Linked DNA regions of Oryctolagus cuniculus. The protein of the gene in region 1 binds, or shares a complex with, the protein of each later gene. Links are inferred from orthologs where the notes say so. Each region holds a gene or a part of one and is shown in the gene's direction. Other genes may lie near its edges. The genes, in order: CELF1, CALR and CALR3.

Region 1 (3,644 bases):
CTGTGGCAGGGTGGGATTAAATATTTGACCACTGAGAGAGAAAGAGAAGGGGCTGAGTGCAGAAAGGACTGGAATGAAAATAGACTCTTTAGGGGCTATGTAGATGTCAAATTAAGACTCTGAGATAACAATTTCCAGAGTTCTCGGCCCTGCTGAGAAAATTGGAATTTGAAACTAAGCACATAAGTTGTCCCTTGAGTAGTGGAGACCAGACACCTTCTTGCCACCATATGCCCTCACCTCGGCTGCTGCTTGTACACACAGGTTTTGTAAGTTACGACAATCCTGTTTCTGCTCAAGCTGCCATCCAGTCCATGAACGGCTTTCAGATTGGCATGAAGCGACTTAAAGTGCAGCTCAAACGTTCGAAGAATGACAGCAAGCCCTACTGAGCGTGCTCCCCTCTGAGACTGAAGTGAGAGGGTCTTCTGGTAAGTGGGGGAGGAGCACCCTTATTGATTCGAAGCCCTGAGGCTGTGTGTTGACAGCCCCGGACCCTGATCCCCGCCACTCTCGCAGGCACAGCTTGCCCTGAAGACTCGGCTACTGCCTTCTGTGGGAGTTTCGCTTCGTACAGAGGACAAGTTTGTGCTTTGGTTTCCAGTGTTTTACTTTGGAGTTTAGGTGCCATATCCTGAGTTTTTTTTTTTTTTTTTTTTTCTTTATTTAAAGTTTGCTGTGTTTGTAACCAGTGTGTGTTGAGAAGGACCAACACCAAACCACCCTGGGGGAGGGGGAATGGGGAAATGTTCTTAAAAGATAATTAGAATTTGCCCCAAACCACCCCATGAGAGAGGACTGAGTGGAACAAAAAACTGACCACCCAAATTTCCCTGAGCGCAAGGGTGGATGGGATGAGAACTGACATCCAAGAGCTGAGGGACCGCAGAGGTGGGTTGGCTTTGGAAGACAGTGGGAATGGTGTGACCCCTAACACCTGGCAGCTGGAGGCAGAAATGCCTCTAGCTAGCTGCCTTCTGTGGACATACAAATTTTTGCCACTGATCTTTCAGATTGTTGGCCTGAATTTCTGCCCCTCTTCCCTGAAAAGGGGTTAGCAGTTCCCTGGAAATAAAGCAGCTGTTAAATTAGACTGACATATTCAAAAAGCAGGGAGACATAAGCCATTATCAGCTTCCCTAGCCAGCATTGGATTGGCCCTGCCTGGCTGGTGGCTGTTTGGGAGAAGCAGCCAAAGAGATCATTTTTAGTTTATTGCAACACCAAATGTGACCATGGCCCATGCCCAATAGGTTCTTTTAAAGAAGGCCTCTCTGGCAGACGTTGGCTGGCATCCCTCCTGGCAGGGCACCACAGCAAGGGACAGCACTTACATCTAGCTGAAGGGGGAACCTGTCTTGGGCTGAGAGACCTAAAGCCATTTAGTTGGAAGAACAAGAGTCTGCTGCTTGGGGCACCTGAATCCGTAGGTGGCTGCAAGCCAGGACGCTGCATTTGCCAGTGGCCAGAACTTAGTGTTTAAGAGAAATCAGAGGCCCACCCTTGCCTCCTTGGTTGAGGTGCTCCAGGTATGGTATTGCCACAGAGGTCTCACAAGCCCTCTGCTAACCACTCCAGCCCCATATTCTGCTCTCGGGGACAGAGGAGACAACAGAACGTTTACATCCTCAACATGGATTTAGTGTTCATTTACCTCAGTATTACTATGTTCTCTTTTGTCCTCGTGCTTACAGTTAGCTCCTTGCTGCCTCCCACAGGTCTCACTCCAGCTCTTGCCAGTGACCCCCACCCAGCCTCTGGGCTCTGTCTCTGCTCCAAGAAATGCAGTAGGGGGTAGAGAGCCAGGAAGGACATGCCAGTTAGCGGTGTGCACCCAGCCAGAGGTGCCCTCTGAGGATAGGATTATCAGCAGTCAGGGACTGAGTTCCTGGGTCCCTGCAATCTCAGACCTCACGAGTGTCAGTCCTGACCCCAGCAGCAGGGATTAGAATAAAGGGGTTGGTTTGCTAGTAAGTCAGATGGGGGCGCTCTCCTCCTCTTGCTGTTCCTGTGGGCAACAGACAGGGAGTGACCGTCTTGTGTTGTACAGGTAGTTGGTGGTGTTGGATTATCCCATTGAAGGGGGGACAGCTTGTCCCTTCTCATAGTGATAACTTGGGTCCGTGTCCTCTTAAGAAACATGAAGCATACACTTCTTAAGCTGAACCACGTAAACTTGAATTCTGCGCACTGGGAGAAATGTGTCCTGTGTTTCAAAGGATAAAACTGTTCTAAAGGCTTCCAGGGTCATGATGGGATTTTTTTAAATAAATGCAAAAAAAAAAAAAAAAAAAAGAACAAAAAAACAAAAAAAGAAAAAAATGCTAGGTTGGGGAGGCGCTGTTCTGAATCCCAACCGGCTGGAACCAAGAATGTCGTTTCTATTTTTATAGAAGTTTTATACAGCTCCGGGGTGGAGAATATTTATTACCTAAATTATATCTCTGGAAAAGGCCAGGATTTTGTAGAATCCAGAATGTGATTGTTGTACACACAGGGTGCTGTGTATGATTGAAACTACTGACTTTCTGTGGCCCGTTTGCAGCCCAGCTCACCTGCCCAAGGGGAAGGCATTAATGCTGTGAATTGGCAGAGGAGAGAACTGTGCTCCACAGGGTGCTGCCGGTGCTGTGCTCCCTGACCTTCTGTTCTGTCTTCCTCCGTGATCAGAACTCCTCTCCACCCCACCTCTCTCCCTCCCTCCACTCCTTCCCCAATTTGCCATTGTTTGTCCTGGGCTCTGGGACCTTATGAGAACCCTCTCCCAATGACCTGAGAGACATAGGTGCAATCTGCCTGCCCTAGATACGAGGCCGAGGCCCTGCGACTTCGTCCCTGCTCAGGGCTTCTCTCTTCTAAAAGGAGCACTTGCCCCAGCAGGGGTCCTGGGCTGCCCCAGCAGCCAGCTGGTGAGACCATACCTCCCCTCTGTTCTCTCCTCCCTCCCAGTGAGCTAGCACAGCAGCAGCGCTGCCCTTGAGCACAGTTCTCTCTCCAGGCCAAAGATGGTTTTGTGAAGAAGCTGCTCCCCTAGAAGTCTCACAGTGTGAAAGGACTCAGCTCGAGAGTGGAGACTCGCAGTCGAGTCCTAAGCAATCCTGTTCTGTATGTGGAGGTTTCACTTACATGTGTTTTCTGCTGTAGTTTTGTTTCTTACTTGGGTTACATCATGAAATTGATTTGCCTTGAATGCAGCCAGACCACTGTCTCCTGGGTTCCACATGAGTGGCCAGGGCCTGTGTGGAAGCTAAGAGCTTGGATTTCTGGGAACAAAGGGCCATCCCCATGGGATTAAGCAGGAATCCGGGCCCTCTCCCTAAAAGAATGCTCCCTACCCTGGCCAGCGTCTTCTGCTGTTCCCCCTGCCCCCTCCCAGAGACCCTCTTCTCCTGAGTGTCGGGTGCTTCCCAGGAAATCCAAGCCTTAGGTTCCCTTCTGTCTCTGGCAAGTGGATGTTTTCTTGGTGTCCTCCATGTCCTTTTTGACTCTTCCCTGTGTCCATTGTTAGCATGTGCAGAAGTTCCCTGTCATTGCCCCGCCCCGCCCCGCCCCGCTCCTCATTTCAGGGCTGTACACACAGTGAGTGTCCTGCTCTCTCTCTCTCTGTTTGGATGTATTGCTCTGTGTAACTCAGTGGGTCTCCC
Region 2 (4,394 bases), on another chromosome or scaffold:
TTTGCCACAGGGGGAGGCTTAGATTTCTGTGCCAGAGCGCCAGCCCCCTAGCAAGTAGCTTTTAAGTTGGGAGGAAACAAGATGGGTAGTCCCCACCCTCCAGCAGGAAGTTCCAAACCCACGTGTCTTGGGCAGGTCAGTAGTGGGCCTGGGAGTCAACTTGGACTTGGCCATCTTCCGGGGGGGGGGGGGGGGCAGCAGGTGGGATGCTATTGTTTGGGAGAAAGAGTAGAGCCCCCAGGTCCCCCCCCCCACTTGTCTTTCTTCCTCTTTCTGGGTCTCCCCCACGGGCAGGGAAGGGAGAGGTAGGGAAAGGCATTGTCGGTCCCCCATGCCCCTGGAGACCCAGGAGCCCGGCCCACGCCCCCAGAACCGTATCTTCCCTACCGTCTGTGTCTTCCCCCCCCCTTCCCAAAGGGAACCCCCTACCCCTACCCTCTCGCCTATGGCCGTTTAATTGCAAAAGCGAGGCTGTTTGTGGCAGACCACAAGAAGGGAGGACCCGCTTGATTTTTTTTCTTATTTATTTACAAGTCACAATTACAGACCGGGGTAGGGGGGCATGTTCCATCTGCTGGTTGGAGCCGGGCACTTCCTCCAGGTCACCCACGTGCCCACGCCATCTTCCACTGCTTTTCCAAGCACATTAGCAAGGAGCTGGATCGGAAGTGGAGCAGCCGGGACTCGAACCGGCGCCCATGGAGGGTGCGGGCGCTGCAGACCCCGGCTTACAAGCCCCTTTCCACGACCGGCAGAGCATGACTGCCATTAGGGGAGCCACAGCCTCCAGCCTCCTCTTTGACCCCTCTTGCAGTTCCGCCCCCTCTGCGCGTGCACAGCCGTAAAAAAGAAAAAAAAAATCTTTAAAAAAACAAACTTGACAGAGGTTTCCTACCAGATAGCATCTGCACCAGGTCGCCACCCCTGGCTTTTGTGCACCACCGAGAGTTCAGAAACGAAGCGACTTGCCCCGGGCCACCCAGCAGCTGGCTGACAGGTGCCAGGGGCACCGGGGTGCAGCCCCCGCGGAAGGGGGGCCCCAAGCTGGGCGGGAGAAACAGTTCACGTCTGAACGCAGGTCCCCCACATGCAGGGCAGGCAGCGGGACGGAAGAGCCTTGCCCAGGCCGCCACGCGTCGGGATAGGGGTAGGGTCCCGGCGCCCGGACACCTGCGCCCGCGCGCGGTCTCCAAAGCGCCCCGTGGGGAGCCCGAAGCGCGCGCGAGCCGCCGAGGGCGGGGTCCGGCTGGGGTGCAGTCACGTGACCTGCCCGGAGCGGGGGCTCGCGGCCCCCACCCCTCCAGTAGGCGTCCCCCACAACGCGTGGTCGACCGTCATTGGCCGGTTATGCGGCCAATAGAAATCGGCCATCTGGGAACCCAGCGTTCCGAGGCACAACCTGACGTGCTGGGCCGACCGTCACCCAATGGGTAGGGAGAGCGGTGGCTGCAGACCAATGATAAGGTGGACGGGGCGGGCCTAGAGGCCGGGTCAGGTTGGTGTGAGGGGGCGGGCGGGTATAAAAGCCCTCAGCCGGCGGCGGCGTCCGTCCGTACTGCAGAGCCGCTGCCGGAGGATCGTTTTAAAGGGCCCGCGAGCCGCCGCCCCCTCGGCCCGCCATGCTGCTCCCTGTGCCGCTGCTGCTCGGCCTGCTCGGCCTGGCCGCCGCCGAGCCCGTCGTCTACTTCAAGGAGCAGTTTCTGGACGGAGGTAACGCCGGGGCCCTGGCTCGCCCGGGTCCCCCATAGCCCGGGCCCGCGGTGCGCGCGGCCCTGTAATTACCGCTCCGAGAGGACCAACACGGCGCGGCCCCGGGGGACTCGGAGCCGCGGGCGATCCGCCTCTCGCCTCCCCGGGGGAGTGTGGGGGACGCAGTTGCCGCTCCTGGCGGGAGTTGGGGTTCGCCCAGAGGTTGCCTCGAGACACCCCGGGGGGAGATCGCCGCTCCTGCCTAACTCCCCCCCACCGCACACACCTTGCAGCTCCTGGCAGGTGTTTGGATGGATGGGCGCTGGGGATGTGGGGGGAGAGAGGGTGGTCGGCCTGCCCTGCCCCTGTGACGCCCCCCCACCTCCTCTCAGATGGGTGGACCGAGCGCTGGATCGAATCCAAACACAAGTCCGATTTTGGCAAATTCGTCCTCAGTTCGGGCAAGTTCTACGGCGATCAGGAGAAAGATAAAGGTGAGGTGCCCGGGAGTCGCGTGGGGCTCGGCTTGTTGGAAGGAGCAGTGGTTAGCGCCTCTCCCGCAGGACCAGGGCAGGTGCAGGGGGTGTGTTAGGGAGGGTCCTTGGGATCTGACTCTGACCCTGACCCCGACCCCGACCCCGCCCGCTCCCGTGCCCTCCCAGGGCTGCAGACCAGCCAGGACGCCCGCTTCTACGCCCTGTCGGCCCGATTCGAGCCGTTCAGCAACAAGGGCCAGCCACTGGTGGTGCAGTTCACCGTGAAACACGAGCAGAACATTGACTGCGGGGGCGGCTACGTGAAGCTGTTTCCGGCCGGCCTGGACCAGAAGGACATGCACGGGGACTCTGAGTACAACATCATGTTTGGTGAGGGGCGGAGACGCACCCCTGAGCCGGCCAGCCCCGCGGGGCTCCCCGAGAGCCTGCAGACGGCCCTGGGGTTGGGGGGGACACCTAAGGGACTGGGTTGCAGCCAGCGGAGGTCCTGGTGCTCACATCCGGGGACTTCCTCATTGAGTTCTGGAGCCGATTGTGTTTGAGGGCGAGATGTCTTCCCTTTTGGAAAGAGAGAGGGTGGGGGCACTGAGCCCACTCCCTGTCCCCTCCCCCACCCCAGGTCCTGACATCTGTGGCCCCGGCACCAAGAAGGTTCACGTCATCTTCAACTACAAGGGCAAGAACGTGCTGATCAACAAGGACATCCGTTGCAAGGTGCTTGCCCCCCGCCGTGGGTGTGGCCAGAGGGGTGGCCCGGGCAGCGGTGGCCGCGGGTGGGCGGGGCCCGCTCACCACCCGCCCGCCCCCAGGACGACGAGTTCACACACCTGTACACCCTGATCGTGCGGCCGGACAACACGTATGAGGTGAAGATTGACAACAGCCAGGTGGAGTCGGGCTCCCTGGAGGATGACTGGGACTTCCTACCCCCCAAGAAGATAAAGGACCCAGATGCCTCGAAGCCCGAAGACTGGGACGAGCGGGCCAAGATCGACGACCCCACGGACTCCAAGCCCGAGGTGGCTGCTGGGGCCCAGGGCAGATAGCGTGTGGCGGGTGGGGGACGTGTGTGGCGGGCAGGCACGGGGCGTGTGCTCAGCTGGCCTCACGCACGGGTCTCGACCCCCCAGGACTGGGACAAGCCCGAGCACATCCCCGACCCGGACGCGAAGAAGCCCGAAGACTGGGACGAAGAAATGGACGGAGAGTGGGAGCCGCCGGTGATTCAGAACCCCGAGTACAAGGTGTGCCGCGGGGTCTTGGGCAGGTGGGGGCTCTCCGTGGGGCGCGCGCCCGCTTCCACTCACCCCTCTGTGTATCCTCCCCACCCCCCAACACACACACACAGGGTGAGTGGAAGCCGCGGCAGATCGACAACCCCGATTACAAAGGCACCTGGATCCACCCCGAAATCGACAACCCCGAGTACTCGCCCGACGCTAACATCTATGCCTACGACAGCTTTGCCGTGCTGGGCTTGGACCTCTGGCAGGTGAGATGGCGGGGTGGCCCTCGGGGCTCCGGGGCACCCAGGAGGAGAGGGACCCGTAGACCCGACCTCTTTCCTGAAGCTCCGGTCCTGGTCTGTGGCTGCGGGGCCCTTGCAGAAGCCCCCCTCCCCCCAGAAGGCCTGCTCCCTGTGCTCCCCCCAAGTCCACTGGTTGACCTAGAAGGTCATTGTCATCCGCTCACCTGCTAGAAAGTTGAGCTGGGGCAGGACGGGTGGGGCGGGAGTGGGAGCAGTCCTGGGTGCTCGACTTCCCATCCAGCTTCCTGCAAGTGCACCTGGGAGGCAGAAGATGATGACCCAAGTGCTTGGGTCCCTGCCACGCACATGGGAGACCTGGGATGGGTTCCAGGCCCCTGGCTGCGGGGGGTGGGGGGGCACCCACAGATGAGGATGGATTCCTCTCTCCCCTTTTCCTCTCTTGCTGTGTTTTTTAAATAAATGAGTATGTAAGGGAGGGAAAAAAAGACGTAGCTGGGACTGAATGTAGGTCCTGTAGTCAGTCCCTGAGCCGCTGGTGAGCAAGGGAGTGAGTGCCCATCTCCCCCATGAAGCAGCTGAGGTGTTTGTAGGGAGGCGATGGCGAGTCACTCAGGGTCGCGCAGACAGGTCCCGGTGGGGCAGTGGCTGGGACCCCAGCCCCCCGCCGCCAGGTGCCAGCAGCTCGCCCTGTGATGGATTCCGGGTGGGCGGGCGGTGCC
Region 3 (3,055 bases), on another chromosome or scaffold:
CATGAGGCATGGAGAGATCTTCTATCTGCTAGTTCATTCACTAAATGCCCACAACAGCAGGAGCCCCCCCAGGTCTCCCACATAGGTGGCAGGGGACGCAGGTACTTGCATGAGCCATCTGACCCACTGCCTTCCCAGGAGCATTAGCAGGACTCTGGACTGGAAGCGGAGTCACGGGGACCGGCCGTGGGACCGGCCGTGCCACCACCCCCACCCCACCCTGACTGGTCTTGCCTTTTCCGCATCTTTGAAGGACTGGGAGAAGCATTTTCTGGACGCTGGCGCCAGTGAACCAAGTGACTGGAACAGTGAGCTGGATGGGGACTGGCAGGCACCGATGCTCCAGAAGCCACCCTACCAGGTGGGCCACACCTTCTTTCCCATGATGCCCTGGGGTGACCTTGGGCTGCCCCCCAGGTGGGCTGCACCATCCTTCCCATGATGCCCTGTGGTGACCTTGGGCTGCCCCCCCAGGTGGGCTGCACCATCCTTCCCATGATGCCCTGGGGTGACCTTGGGCTGCCCCCCCAGGTGGGCCACACTGTCCTTCCCATGATGCCCTGGGATGACCTAGGACCACCCCCCAGGTGGGCCGCACCGTCCTTCCCATGATGCCCTGGGATGACCTTGGGCTGCCCCGCCCAGGTGGGCTGCACCATCCTTCCCATGATACCCTGGGATGACCTTGGGCTGCCCCCCCAGGTGGGCTGCACCATCCTTCCCATGATGCCCTGGGATGACCTTGGGCTGCCCCCCCAGGTGGGCTGCACCATCCTTCCCATGATGCCCTGGGGTGACCTTGGGCTGCCCCCCCAGGTGGGCTGCACTGTCCTTCCCATGATGCCCTGGGATGACCTTGGGCCGCCCCCCCACGAGGGCCGTGTCGTCCTTCCCACGATGCCCTGGGATGACCTTGGGCTGCCCTCTCCCTCTCCCCGGCCCTCCTTCCGGGACCACCACATGCAGCGTCATGGTCATGGTCATGGTCATGGTCATGGTCGTTGCAGGACGGCCTGAAGCCAGAGGGCATCGACAAGCACGTCTGGCTGTACCAGAAGATGAGGGGCACCAGCTCCCTGATGGAGTACGACCTCTCGGAGTTTGAGAACATCGGCGCCATCGGACTGGAGCTCTGGCAGGTCACTCGGTGTCTCAGTCCACTTTCTCTGGCTAGGACAGTGCACCCACGCGGCGGGCTATGCGGTGGAAAGACGTGTGTTGACGCTGAAGTCCGGGATCAGCTGGCCTCGCGGGTGTGGTCCCTGGTTAGAGCCTTCTGGCTGCATCACAGCTTGGTGAATGGCGTCCCATAGCAAGAGCACAAGCAGAGAGCGCGTGGTGAGACGGGACTAAGAGACCAGGAGCAGAGGGCGCGTGGTGAGACGGGACTAAGAGACCAGGAGAGGAGGGCGCGTGGTGAGACGGGGCTAATGGACCAGGAGCAGAGGGCGCGTGGTGAGACGGGACTAAGGGACCAGGAGCAGAGAGACAGGACTAAGAGACCGGGAGCAGAGGGCGCGTGATGAGACGGGGCTAAGGGACCAGGAGCAGAGAGCGCGTGGTGAGACGGGGCTAAGGGACCGGGAGCGGGGGGCGCGTGGTGAGACGGGGCTAAGGGACCGGGAGCGGAGGGCGCGTGGTGAGACGGGGCTAAGGGACCGGGAGCGGAGGGCGCGTGGTGAGACGGGGCTAAGGGACCAGGAGCGGAGAGCGCGTGGTGAGACGAGACTAAGGGACCGGGAGCGGAGGGCGTGTGGTGAGACGGGACTAAGGGACCAGGAGCGGAGGGCGCATGGTGAGACGGGGCTAAAGGACCAGGAGCAGAGGGCGCGTGGTGAGATGGGGCTAAGGGACCGGGAGCAGAGGGCACGTGGTGAGACGGGACTAAGGGACCAGGAGCAGAGAGCGCGTGGTGAGACGGGGAGCCAGGGACCAGGAGCAGAGAGCGCGTGGTGAGACGGGACTAAGGGACCAGGAGCAGAGGGACAGGACTAAGAGACCAGGAGCGGAGGGCACGTGGTGAGACGGGGCTAAGGGACCGGGAGCAGAGAGCGCGTGATGAGACGGGACTAAGGGACCAGGAGCAGAGGGCGCGTGGTGAGACAGGGAGCCAGGGACCAGGAGCGGAGAGACAGGACTAAGACTCCGGGAGCAGAGAGCGCGTGGTGAGACGGGACTAAGGGACGGGGAGCAGAGAGCGCGTGGTGAGATGGAGAGCTAGGTACCAGGAGCAGAGAGCGCGTGGTGAGACGGGACTAAGGGACCAGGAGCAGAGGGACAGGACTAAGAGACCAGGAGTGGAGGGCGCGTGGTGAGATAGGACTAAGGGACCGGGAGTGGAGGGCGCGTGGTGAGACGGGGCTAAGGGACCAGGAGCAGAGAGACAGGACTAAGGGACCAGGAGCGGAGGGCGCGTGGTGAGACGAGACACCAGGGACCTCTCTTTCAGAACCACCTGTTCCTGGGGTAACAAACTGATTTCCAGGATTCTTGATGCATTCCCTCCAGACAGCATTAATCCACTCCTGAGAGTAGAGTCCCAGACAGCATTAATCCACTCCTGAGAGTCAAGTCCCATGATGTAACCACCTCCCACTGGGCCCTACCTCTTCAAGGTCCCACCACTTCAGCAGTACTGCCATGGGGACCAAGGTGCCAAGATCAAGACCTTTGGGGGAAGAAAGCACATTGAAAACATAGCGTTGACTGTAACTTTGCTAGACTCTGAACTTCAGCCTGAACTTGTACATTAATGCTGTTCCCTGAGCACTTGCTGGGTGCCAGGTACCCCTACCTGAACCCTGGAGGTAGAGCCGCGGTTCGTTTTTTAAAACAGATTGGTTCATTGATTTATCTAAAGGCAGAGTCCAGATGAGAGAGGGGGAGACAGAGATCTTCCAAGTACTGATGAGTGGCAGGAGCCAGTCACTTGAGCCAGGACTGCCGCTTCCCAGGGTGTGCAGTAGCAGGAAGCAGGAGTCAGGAGCTGGAGCTGGACTCTGCACCCAGGCCCTCTCAGGTGGACACAGGTGTGTGAGCCACAAGGCCCAATACC

What was found.
Region 2: CELF1 (region 1) and CALR share a complex: the UniProt entries of both Homo sapiens proteins name them as parts of the EIF2 complex. The link is inferred for Oryctolagus cuniculus from reciprocal best matches to the Homo sapiens genes CELF1 and CALR.
Region 3: CELF1 (region 1) and CALR3 share a complex: the UniProt entries of both Homo sapiens proteins name them as parts of the EIF2 complex. The link is inferred for Oryctolagus cuniculus from reciprocal best matches to the Homo sapiens genes CELF1 and CALR3.

Annotation. Positions count from the first base shown.
Region 1 is NC_091432.1:18,533,448-18,537,091, forward strand, and holds part of CELF1 (CUGBP Elav-like family member 1), read left to right. Parts: intron 1-264; coding exon 265-392; 3' UTR 393-431; exon of another isoform or gene 432-3,644. UniProt on the Homo sapiens protein: RNA-binding protein implicated in the regulation of several post-transcriptional events. Involved in pre-mRNA alternative splicing, mRNA translation and stability.
Region 2 is NC_091447.1:62,399,690-62,404,083, forward strand, and holds the start of CALR (calreticulin precursor), read left to right. Parts: upstream 1-1,562; 5' UTR 1,563-1,619; coding exon 1,620-1,710; intron 1,711-2,081; coding exon 2,082-2,183; intron 2,184-2,351; coding exon 2,352-2,555; intron 2,556-2,805; coding exon 2,806-2,900; intron 2,901-2,995; coding exon 2,996-3,205; intron 3,206-3,316; coding exon 3,317-3,430; intron 3,431-3,534; coding exon 3,535-3,678; intron 3,679-4,394. UniProt on the Homo sapiens protein: Calcium-binding chaperone that promotes folding, oligomeric assembly and quality control in the endoplasmic reticulum (ER) via the calreticulin/calnexin cycle.
Region 3 is NC_091447.1:64,868,036-64,871,090, reverse strand, and holds part of CALR3 (calreticulin-3), read left to right. Parts: intron 1-253; coding exon 254-361; intron 362-1,007; coding exon 1,008-1,139; intron 1,140-3,055. UniProt on the Homo sapiens protein: During spermatogenesis, may act as a lectin-independent chaperone for specific client proteins such as ADAM3. Required for sperm fertility. CALR3 capacity for calcium-binding may be absent or much lower than that of CALR.